2 linked regions of the Arabidopsis thaliana genome follow. The protein of the gene in region 1 interacts with the protein of each later gene in a biochemical or structural test. Each region holds a gene or a part of one and is shown in the gene's direction. Other genes may lie near its edges. The genes, in order: AT5G62440 and La1.

Region 1 (4,580 bases):
CCAAAAGATTATACCAAAAATGTTGTTAGTGATTTGATTATACCTTGTGGCATATTTCACAGGTTGTGTCGCCTTTCTCATTACACCAACGTTGAACACACTTACGATGAGCATACTATAGACACAAAATACCAAATTGATGAGAACTGTTTTAAACGAAAGATACCAACAAAAACAAATAAAACAATGAGATTCATTGATAAAATTATCACCTTCAAACTGCCACTACAAGAACAAGGGGACTCGAGGTTCTTAACGGAATCCTCCTCTTGGCATATACGACATTCAACCGATTGGATGAGCGGTTCCTCTTCATCATCAACATCGCGTTGTTCCGTTGTCTCTTCTTCCTCGGTTTTCTTACCATCCATAGATTTAGTAGTAGACAGGCTTGTGGAACCCTGAGCTCTAGAACTCTCTCCAGAAGATTCAATAGATTGATTGGATCCTCTATCTGAGTTTAAACTTTCAGGTTTCACGAGACGGTCAGTACTTGAACTCTGATCATCAGCCATCTCTCTTTTAGCCTCAATGTGTAAAAAAACGTTGTCCTGTTAAAAACCAAGAAAGATCCAAAGATTCAAAATAAAAATCTCATAACTCTTATAATGATAAATGTTCCATCATCAACACAAAAATCTCCATTTCTTTGAATCGAAACATCATAATTGAGCTCAGACAATCGATTTCATTTCATTAAAGCGGAACAATTCAGGGAAAATGTCTTGGTGGAAGAGATTAGGATCTGAGTTTAAAATATGTCTTTGTCTCCAAATTTCCCCAAATTTTCAAGACATAAACCTAATCGGAAAATCCCCAAATTTCAGAATCACATCTCAACCATGAAAACAAAAGAGAGATACCATTCGATTCCATCACAATTCAGGAATGAAATTGAAACCCCAAAAGTCACAGAAATCAAAATTCCCAAATAGCAGAATCAACCAACCATAACCCAAGAAGAAAATGAAAGAAAAAAAGAGATAAAAGAGAAGATGATCAAATTATGATTACCTATAGAAGAAGAAATATCGTGAATCGCAGAAAATGGGGGAAAGAAGCTCTCTTTCGATTTCTTGAAGGGCACAAACAGCTCTCAAGATGAAATTCGGACAAATGTGTTTTCTTGTTTGATGTTCGGTCTGGAAAAATATTCAGATAAGTAAATCAAAATTTCGAAGCGCGTGTAAACAGATAAATATATAATTAAATACACAAAACCGGAGTTATGGAGGTTGACGATTTGACACGGTAACGTTATGATAATCAGATTTTCACAAAAAAAAGTTTTTTTTTTTTTTGTACCTATCTATCTTGGTTCTTTTTAGATTTTAGATAATATTACAAAAATAACTCTTTACCAAAATACGATAAAATAATTCCATTATTTTTAGAAAATTTAAGATTGAGGTGTTTGACTGTTGATAGATAATATGGTAAGATTGACTAGAAGCAAAAAAAATATATTCCAATTATGTCAAATTTTTGAAAAATTTAAGAAGTTCCATTAATTCCACGAGATGTAAATAATTTCAAAAGATGTTCGTTTGACTTTGACATTTTCCTCTTTGGCAAAAATTGTGATTGATCAATAAGTTAAGTCTCCAAGATATCCCGACAGACTGAACATCTAAAACGTTTAGGTATCCCAAAAATTATTTTTAATAACATTGTAAATTATATCAACATTTTTTATCCAAAAAAAGTATAATATGATTTATTTGTTAAACTATTATATTAAGATTTGAGTTTTTATTCTATTATTTAGAATTACTGACTATTATCCAAATTTTCTACAACAGTAAAAGTAATTTGTAGACTAAAAAAATATCTTGAGATGATTAATAAAAAAATATATTAGAAAAATGTAGACTTTAAAATGAAAAGATTTAAGAGACGTAAAAATAATAATTGGACAGATCAATGACGACAAATTAGTTACTACATTGAAAATCCTGGTTTTCATGTAGTGTATGCCGTCGAGCCAAAAAATCAAATAGACCGAACCAGTTCGGTTCAATCGGAAACCAAAGTCATATAAATATACCGCTTAGACGATTTCTGTAGGTCACACACCCTCAAGCTTAAACCCTAGAAATCGTAGAAAGGTGAAAAAAAGGCGGAAGCTTTACTAGCTTAACAATGGCTGAAGAACAAGAGATCGTCGATTCCCTGTCAGCGGAAGTGAACCCAGACCAGAAAGTGGACATGGAAGTCGAAACCGCGACCCCGAAAGCCGAGACCGGCGATGAGAAACGTGAGAGAGAGGAGACAGAGGAAGAAGAGAACGGAGGTGAATCGAAGAAGCAGAAGGTTGGAGAGGAAGAGAAGTCAGGTCCGGTTAAACTTGGTCCCAAGGAGTTTGTTACCTCTGTGGCGATGTTCGATTACTTTGTCAAGTTTTTACACTTTTGGCCAACTGATCTCGATGTTAATAAGGTAATACATATTTGGGTTTACTCTTCGTCTTTGTCTTTTGGCTTTGTTTATTGTAAAGTTTCAAATTTTTTGGAAATATTCATTCCTTTGCTCGAGACTTATATAGGTTAATCTAAGAGCTCTGATTGTGATTATTAAGTTCTGTGATGTGTTTAGGAAGATGTTTTATCAATGAATCTGATGATGATCGTGCTTTGTATTTAAACTAAAAGAAATTGAGAATTGGGTTCGCCTTTGTATTGGTCATATGATTTGATTTTGGATTCAGTGTTTGGTGTTAGAATTTTGTTTTTGTCTCAAATTAGTGGTTGTTTACAATGATTGTGGATATTGTATTATGTTTAGGGAGATGATTGTGGATATTGTATTATGTTTAGGGAGAGGATTAGTGAAGTGGAGATAGCTTGTAAATTGGACTCCTTTGCAGCTTTTTTACTAGTTGAAAAGTTCAAATGTATCGTGTTCTTACTGATTATATGATTGTGGATTGTGTGTGAATTAGAAAGTTTTTTTGGGTCTTGATGTCATATAATGGTTAGAAGAATGAAGTTAATGTCAAATTTTGAGGGCACAAATAAAAGATAAAACATTGCATAGTCATGTAATATATTACAGTTGTTGCAGTTTCTTTTGAGCTTCCAACTAACTAACTCGTTGTACTGAACTTTGTTCTGGATTGTACATTTCAGTATGAGCACATGGTGCTGCTAGATCTGATTAAGAAGGGCCATTCTGAGCCTGAAAAGAAGATTGGAGGAGGAATCAAAACCTTCCAAGTAAGAACCCACCCAATGTGGAAAAGCAGATGCTTCTTTCTGGTTAGGGAAGACGATACTGCAGACGATTTCAGCTTCAGGAAGTGTGTTGATCAAATCCTCCCATTGCCTGAAAACATGAAGACTCCTGGAGCTAACGGCAATGGACATGGTGGAGGTCGCGGTGGCGGTGGTGGAAGAAGAGGCGGTCGTGGTGGTGGTAGAGGAGGGAGATTCAGAAGATGAATATGCTGACACTTGATGCCTTATTTCAAAAGAAAATTTTGAAAATTTCAGATTTAGTTCTTTTGCCAAAAACTTTAAAAGTTATGATCTTGTCTAATGCAACTGCTTTTTGTTGGAGAAAAATTGTCAGTTTATATAACCCATTATTGCTGAAGAAGAAGAATATTGTCCCTACTATCTTGACAACATCAGAAAAAAACACAGACGCGTCAATAGAACTAAAAATCTGGTTGATCTAGTTTTTAAAAACCAATAATTCAAAAACGAAAAACTCAAATCAAAATCTAGATGAAAAAAAAACACTTTCCATTGATAGTGTAGTGTTGATCTGGTTGCTAAATGATAATGTTAAATAAAAAGAATTGGGGAAGTTATGAAAAACCGACATTTTGACTTTGGTAACTTACTGTGTGTGACATGTTCACCGTTTACGACCCTTCTAAGAGAAAGACAATGCCCTCAAACTAAAGCTGTCTTAAATCTTAACCCTGCTAAAAAATGATTACATGAAGTGATAACACTGGTTGGCACACGTCTTGGAATAATGGATTATTTTGAAACACATTATGAATTATAAAGAAACATTATCCGATATTCGGTATTCGGATTAATATTCCAAATTGTCTTCTTACACAATATACAAATAGACACATACACAAATTGTCTTTTGAAGATGCAACAAATTTTGTTTTGTTAAGCCTTCTTAGATTTAGGAAGCTTCTTAACTACGATCTTACTGCAACACAATCAGTTTGTGAAATCTATGATCTGACCAAGATGCAGGTGAGTAAGGGACCTACAGTAGAAGTTGACATGGAAAAAAGGCAGAGTTTGGTAAATCATAAAATGTGGCAGAGACCTTTTTGGTAATAGCCAATGAGAGAGCACCTCATATCTATTACCTTCTTCTGCAGTCTTCTTATCTTAACGTACAACCGTTCACTTAATGAAATTCGTCAATGGATGTTATATGGTTGTGAAGTTTTTTTTTTGTTTTTTTTTTTATAATTGATTTTCTATTAATGGTTGTGATTAATCTTTGTGTATAAAAGAAGGGTATATGTTTCTCCAAACCAAAAAGTGTAGATCGTTTTCAAATGAAGGATTTTTATCCTTCTACCAACCAATTAAGAAATTGCA
Region 2 (5,178 bases), on another chromosome or scaffold:
ATGAGTTACTTCTTTCTAAGTAGTTAGTATGAGTTTTCCAATCAATCTATTTTCCACGTTCAGTTTTCCAAATTGTATTGATCCTGTTATAGTGTAATTACGCATTTTGTAATTGGCCATGGTACTACAATACTAATACTATCATGTTATCTGCAGACTTCAATCTTTTATTTTTAAAAATTAATTATTAGCATTTGTAATATTGATGTAATTTTAATACAAACTGTTTATTAATTTGTTTGAAAACTTATGTGGACAAATAAAATTAGTATACAGAACAAAAAAATATGTTTCAATACCAAAAAAAGTTCACTCCCTAAGCTTTTCTGTCTCTTAAGGATAACATCCTGGATGAGGTCTCTCGATGATTCCCCCCACATACAACATAACCATATAAAAAAAAAATCATCAGCCAAGTGAAGCCTCGGGAACAGTAGTGTGAACCTTTGGATCCTTGGCCTATCGTCAAATGATCGACGACGGTCGAGTTGATTGATCCTACACAGTACACAACCTGAATGTTTTCCCATAGCATCTCTGCTTCATCTATTCCTTGCTAGTAGGATTGATCCCAGAAAACCATAAATTTGTTTTATAAAGATTGAACGTTTGTCTATAGATTAATTTTCAATGGATTAAACATTGTAAATTAATGGTCTTATGGATTTTGTGAGTTTAGATTATCAAGGTTAGAACTGTGTATTTTGAAAAGAATAGGTGATGCGTCATCACAATACACGCAAAAAAAAAAAGTGAAAAATATATAATACTAGTAAGTAGATTTACAAAGAAGAATTTTTCCAAAAAAGAAAGAGTTGATCCGTCGAACTCGTTAATTAAGAAGGCTCGTTGAATTTTACAAAGCAAATTCTAAAAAAAGATGCATCTATTTTTACGATATCTCGAATATATTTATTATGAGTGTTGTTGATAAGAAAGATAAAAAATTCGAGAGGCAAACAATAGTTTTCTGCAACTATAGAGATAATTAATAATTCTTATCAGCTTTTCAATCATGAGATCTGTTATTTGGTTTATAGTTTCTTATACTCTCATGTTACTCGTTCTGAGAGGTGGTAAAGGTAATATGTTGAGTTTTTTTTGTATGGACGTAACTCGTATATAATAAGATATAAAACAAGGATGTTCTTTCTAATTGCAAAAACGGTGTTGTGATTAAAGGAAATAAAAAGCATTGTTACAACGTTAACATATGGTTTAATAGTGAACTTATTTGGATTGTCATTTGTTTATTAATCGAACTAAAATTAACGTTTTTTTTTTTTTTTTTGGTTTGTGTGGTTGAGAAAACAATAGAAGTGGAAGCTGAGAAACTGTGTACAACGATAGGAGACTTGGACGGTAAATGTAGCCAAGACGGAGAAAAGTTGTGCATGAGATACATGACTGATCAATCTAAAAAAAAGTTTCTTAGCTGCACATGTAATAACGTTGTTATGTTACACAAGTACAAACATTATTGCGAATGTCAATCTCATTGTACTCCAAAACAAACGTAAGCTGTAACTCTATAATCAATATATCTCTTTACAACTAAATAAGAATTGTTGATAGAGTTTGTAGTGTTTTCACGACTCAAAAATACAAATGTTGTGCTGATTGAAGTATGAATTTTTGGTTCAAGTCTTGATCTTGATCATTGAAAAAAATCGTGAAAATATTGATCAATTGCCAACGAAAAGACGTAATGGGGTGAATCAGATAGTGTAGGATTATTTGGGGTAATTTTGTTACATTCTAAAGTATAGTGGGTGGGGTTAAATTGATAGTATTAAAAAAGTCAAGGGTTAATACGAAATACAAATATAATCAATAGCGAAAAACCAAAAAATAAATAAATAAATGACAATTTGACTCGAAAACTTTAAGAGAAAATGGAAACTGTGTCTCAATAAACCCTAGTACCCTTTTTCTCTCTTATTCTTCTATCTTCCTCCTCCTCTATCTTTCGCTCGAGCCATTGAGCAATTATGTCGATTCCTTGTCTAACCGAAGAGACAGCCAAAACTGTTCTTCGCCAGGTACAAACTTGTCTTCTTCTTCTTCTTCTGCGGTTCCTCTCTAGTAGCTTCACCAGTTTTTTTTCTTTCGATTATGTTCTGATATTTGATATCGATTTTATAGGTGGAGTTCTATTTCAGTGATAGTAATCTACCCATTGATGATTTCCTCAAGAAGACTGTTACAGAGAGCGAAGATGGCTGTAAAGTTTTAAACTTTTAAACAAATTCAGTCGCTATCGCTGTGTATTTTGATTTTTTTTTGTTATGGCTAATTGATGATTTTTTGGTTTGTCAAATAGTGGTGAGTTTGGCGTTGATTTGCTCCTTTAGTAAGATGAGAGGATATTTGAAGTTGGGTGATTCTAAAGGAGATGATATTCCTGAAGATACCATCAAAGCTGTTGCTGATACTCTTCGAACCTCTTCTGCTCTCAAGATTTCTGACGATGGTGAGTTTCATGATATAATCAAGTTTCTGTTGGGTTTGGATATAGTTAACAATTGCTTTAATTGATTCAAACGAAGTAGTGATATCTTAGAAGAAAGATAATAGTTTGAGAGTTTCAATTATAGGTGAATGGCCTGTGTAGTGCATAGTTTAAACTTAGTTTCATTAAGAAAAGTCTTTGCATGTGGATTTTACAAGTTTGATAATATGTGGTGTCAGATTGGAGAAATATGTTTTGTACAGTTTAGTGATCAATTTTGTTGGATTTTCTTAAACAGGGAAAAAGGTTGGTAGGAGTACTGAATTGTTGAAGCTGGAAGATTTGATTGAGCAACTTAATGCTAGAACAGTAGCTGCGTCACCTTTCTCCTATGATGTTAAAAGGGAAGACGTGGAATCCTTTTTCAGTCAGTATGGAAAGGTAATCCACTATCGATTGAATCATAAGCCATTGTTCAAAATTTAGATTGGTTATACAAGTTTTTGGTATATGTATGTGTCGTCCTTGCAGGTTAATAGTGTGAGGATGCCTCGTCATGTTGCAGAGTCGAGGATATTTTCTGGTGTTGCCTTGGTTGAGTTCCCTACAGAAGAGGATGCCCAGAATGTTATGAAGCAGAATTTGGTCTTTGCTGGTCAGGAGTTGGAGCTGAAACCAAAGTAATCATACTTAGACATGAAAACATGTCCTGTTTGCTGACTGTTTCTCATTTTACAAGTCTTTCCATTGAATGTTTGGATGGGTTACTTAAAAGGTGATATATTCTTTTCAGGAAAGAGTTTGATAATGAAAGGGAGAAGGATGAAGTAAAATTTGCTAATTACCAACCTCAGAAGGGATCTGCAAATCAGAAGAATGGTTCTGATCACAAAAACAATTCTGCTTATGAGCCAGAGTAGGGGTTTGACTGTTGCTATCTAATTACTTGTCTTTTCATGCTAATAATCCTCTTGATCTGATTATGGCTATTTTATCGTATTGTAGTTATCCCAAGGGTTTGATCATTTCATTCACCCTCAAGCGTTCAGCTGAAGAGGGTACCACGGAACAAAAAAGTTCTGAGGAGCCAACTGATAAGACAATGGAAGAAAGTGAAACAAAGCCAGCAGATACTCCTGATGCTGATAAAGAAAACACTGGTGAGGTTCAGGCCGAGGGAGCAGAGGATGAAGATGATGAGAAAGAAGAAAAGGGTGCTCTAGCCACCCATAAAGATAATAAGGATGTTGTCTTACGTGAAGATCTTAAGGCTGTTTTCGGAAAATTTGGTGATGTCAAGGTACTACTTGAGTTTTACTTAGCTGTCTGTCAACATGAATCAGATTCAATATCTCATATAACTGACATCATTTTCACTGATTCCTTTATTCTTTTTGTTGTGAAGTTTGTTGATTTCAAGATGGGATCTGAGACGGGTTATCTTAGGTTTGATGAACCTGAAGCATCCCAGAAAGCCCGTGCAGCAGCAGTATTAGCCAATGAAGGTGGACTAGCCGTGAAGAATTTTATTGCTGTCCTAGAACCTGTTATTGGTAAAAACACCTTTTCAACTTCAATCTTATCTTATAACTAAACCTTGTGTTCTGCTTTAGTTAAATGGTCACTTGTTTATATTGCTCTCTGTCAGGCGAAGCTGAAAAGGAGTATTGGACTCTCCTACGAAGCAAAGATCGGTTTGACAAGGGTGGCCGTGGAGGAAGGTGAGTTCATGTTTTTGTTCTGGTTTCTTTGTTATGATTTTGTTTCAAATGAAGTTTTTGTTTGGTTCTTCAGATAATAATATACTTGGTCTATGCAGGGGAGGAAGAAGAGGAGGGAGATTCGGGAGAAAGAGGGGATCAGATTCACCGGGTGGTCGCTGGAACAAATCTCAGAAGGTGGAAGCATGAGAGATTTCGCTCGTGACTGCTTCTGTTTTTCAATATATTTCTAGTTGCAACTTTAAATTTAATGTATCGACTGGTGACTCGTGATGTTATAACTAGAAATAGCTGCTTATTTGGCAAATTTTGGTTTAGTCATATTTGGTATTGTTTTGTTTAGCTTTATGTGCCTTCTTATGCACACATCTCTTTCCTTAATTATTTTAAATCGATGTTTAGGAAGCATTCTAAAAGACAAACTATTAATATTAACTGCTAAAAGTATATTCCTGTAAATTCTACAACTGTATCAATTGACTCACTGATGATGACACTATTTTACTTGAAGTAGTTAAAATTAATTTTGAAAATCAAATAGTTTTGGTATTCTTCTTGGTCTTCTCGTTTGACTTTGTCTACATTGTTATTAGGTTTTTATGCTGATTTTAGAATTAGCTGTTACTGGCAATTTCATCTTCTTCCTTTTTAATGAGAAAAAAACTCTTCTTTCATACAAAGAATGCTTTGCCGTTGTTTAGAAGAAGAAGCAACAGAGAATCTCGAAAGAAAAATGAATGAAGAAACGTATAAATAAATAAATTGAACTTTTATGATATGAGAGACTAAAAAGCGAGATTCAGAGATTGAAATCAACGGCTGAGATCACTTTCCTTTTTGTTTTGATCTCTCTCTCTCTCTCTCTCTCTCACTTCGAATTCCGTCCGCCTCTCCATGTTTGAGTTTTGAATACCTCTCTCTCTCTCTCTCATTCTCTCTCTCTCTCTCTCTCTCTCTCTCTCTCTCTCTCTCTCTCTCTCGACTTCGATTTCGATTTGTGTTCTT

What was found.
Region 2: the proteins of AT5G62440 (region 1) and La1 form a complex in vitro, tested with the Arabidopsis thaliana proteins (one study listed by BioGRID).

What each region holds. Positions count from the first base shown.
Region 1 is NC_003076.8:25,071,480-25,076,059, reverse strand, and holds AT5G62440 (EMB514 (DUF3223)), read left to right. Parts: upstream 1-1,990; 5' UTR 1,991-2,142; coding exon 2,143-2,439; intron 2,440-3,128; coding exon 3,129-3,440; 3' UTR 3,441-3,943; downstream 3,944-4,580. Other genes in the region: AT5G62460 (RING/FYVE/PHD zinc finger superfamily protein), read right to left, coding at 44-115, 213-551, 864-866. UniProt on the Arabidopsis thaliana protein: May play a role in ribosome biogenesis and in determining the rate of cell division. Involved in a process essential for nuclear and nucleolar functions.
Region 2 is NC_003075.7:15,785,322-15,790,499, forward strand, and holds La1 (La protein 1), read left to right. Parts: upstream 1-1,872; 5' UTR 1,873-1,991; coding exon 1,992-2,042; intron 2,043-2,145; coding exon 2,146-2,224; intron 2,225-2,323; coding exon 2,324-2,473; intron 2,474-2,750; coding exon 2,751-2,893; intron 2,894-2,983; coding exon 2,984-3,132; intron 3,133-3,245; coding exon 3,246-3,368; intron 3,369-3,457; coding exon 3,458-3,752; intron 3,753-3,857; coding exon 3,858-4,005; intron 4,006-4,100; coding exon 4,101-4,173; coding exon of another isoform or gene 4,174-4,177; intron 4,178-4,271; coding exon 4,272-4,362; 3' UTR 4,363-4,675; downstream 4,676-5,178. Other genes in the region: SCRL24 (SCR-like 24), read left to right, coding at 1,016-1,082, 1,318-1,520. UniProt on the Arabidopsis thaliana protein: Binds to the 3' poly(U) terminus of nascent RNA polymerase III transcripts, protecting them from exonuclease digestion and facilitating their folding and maturation.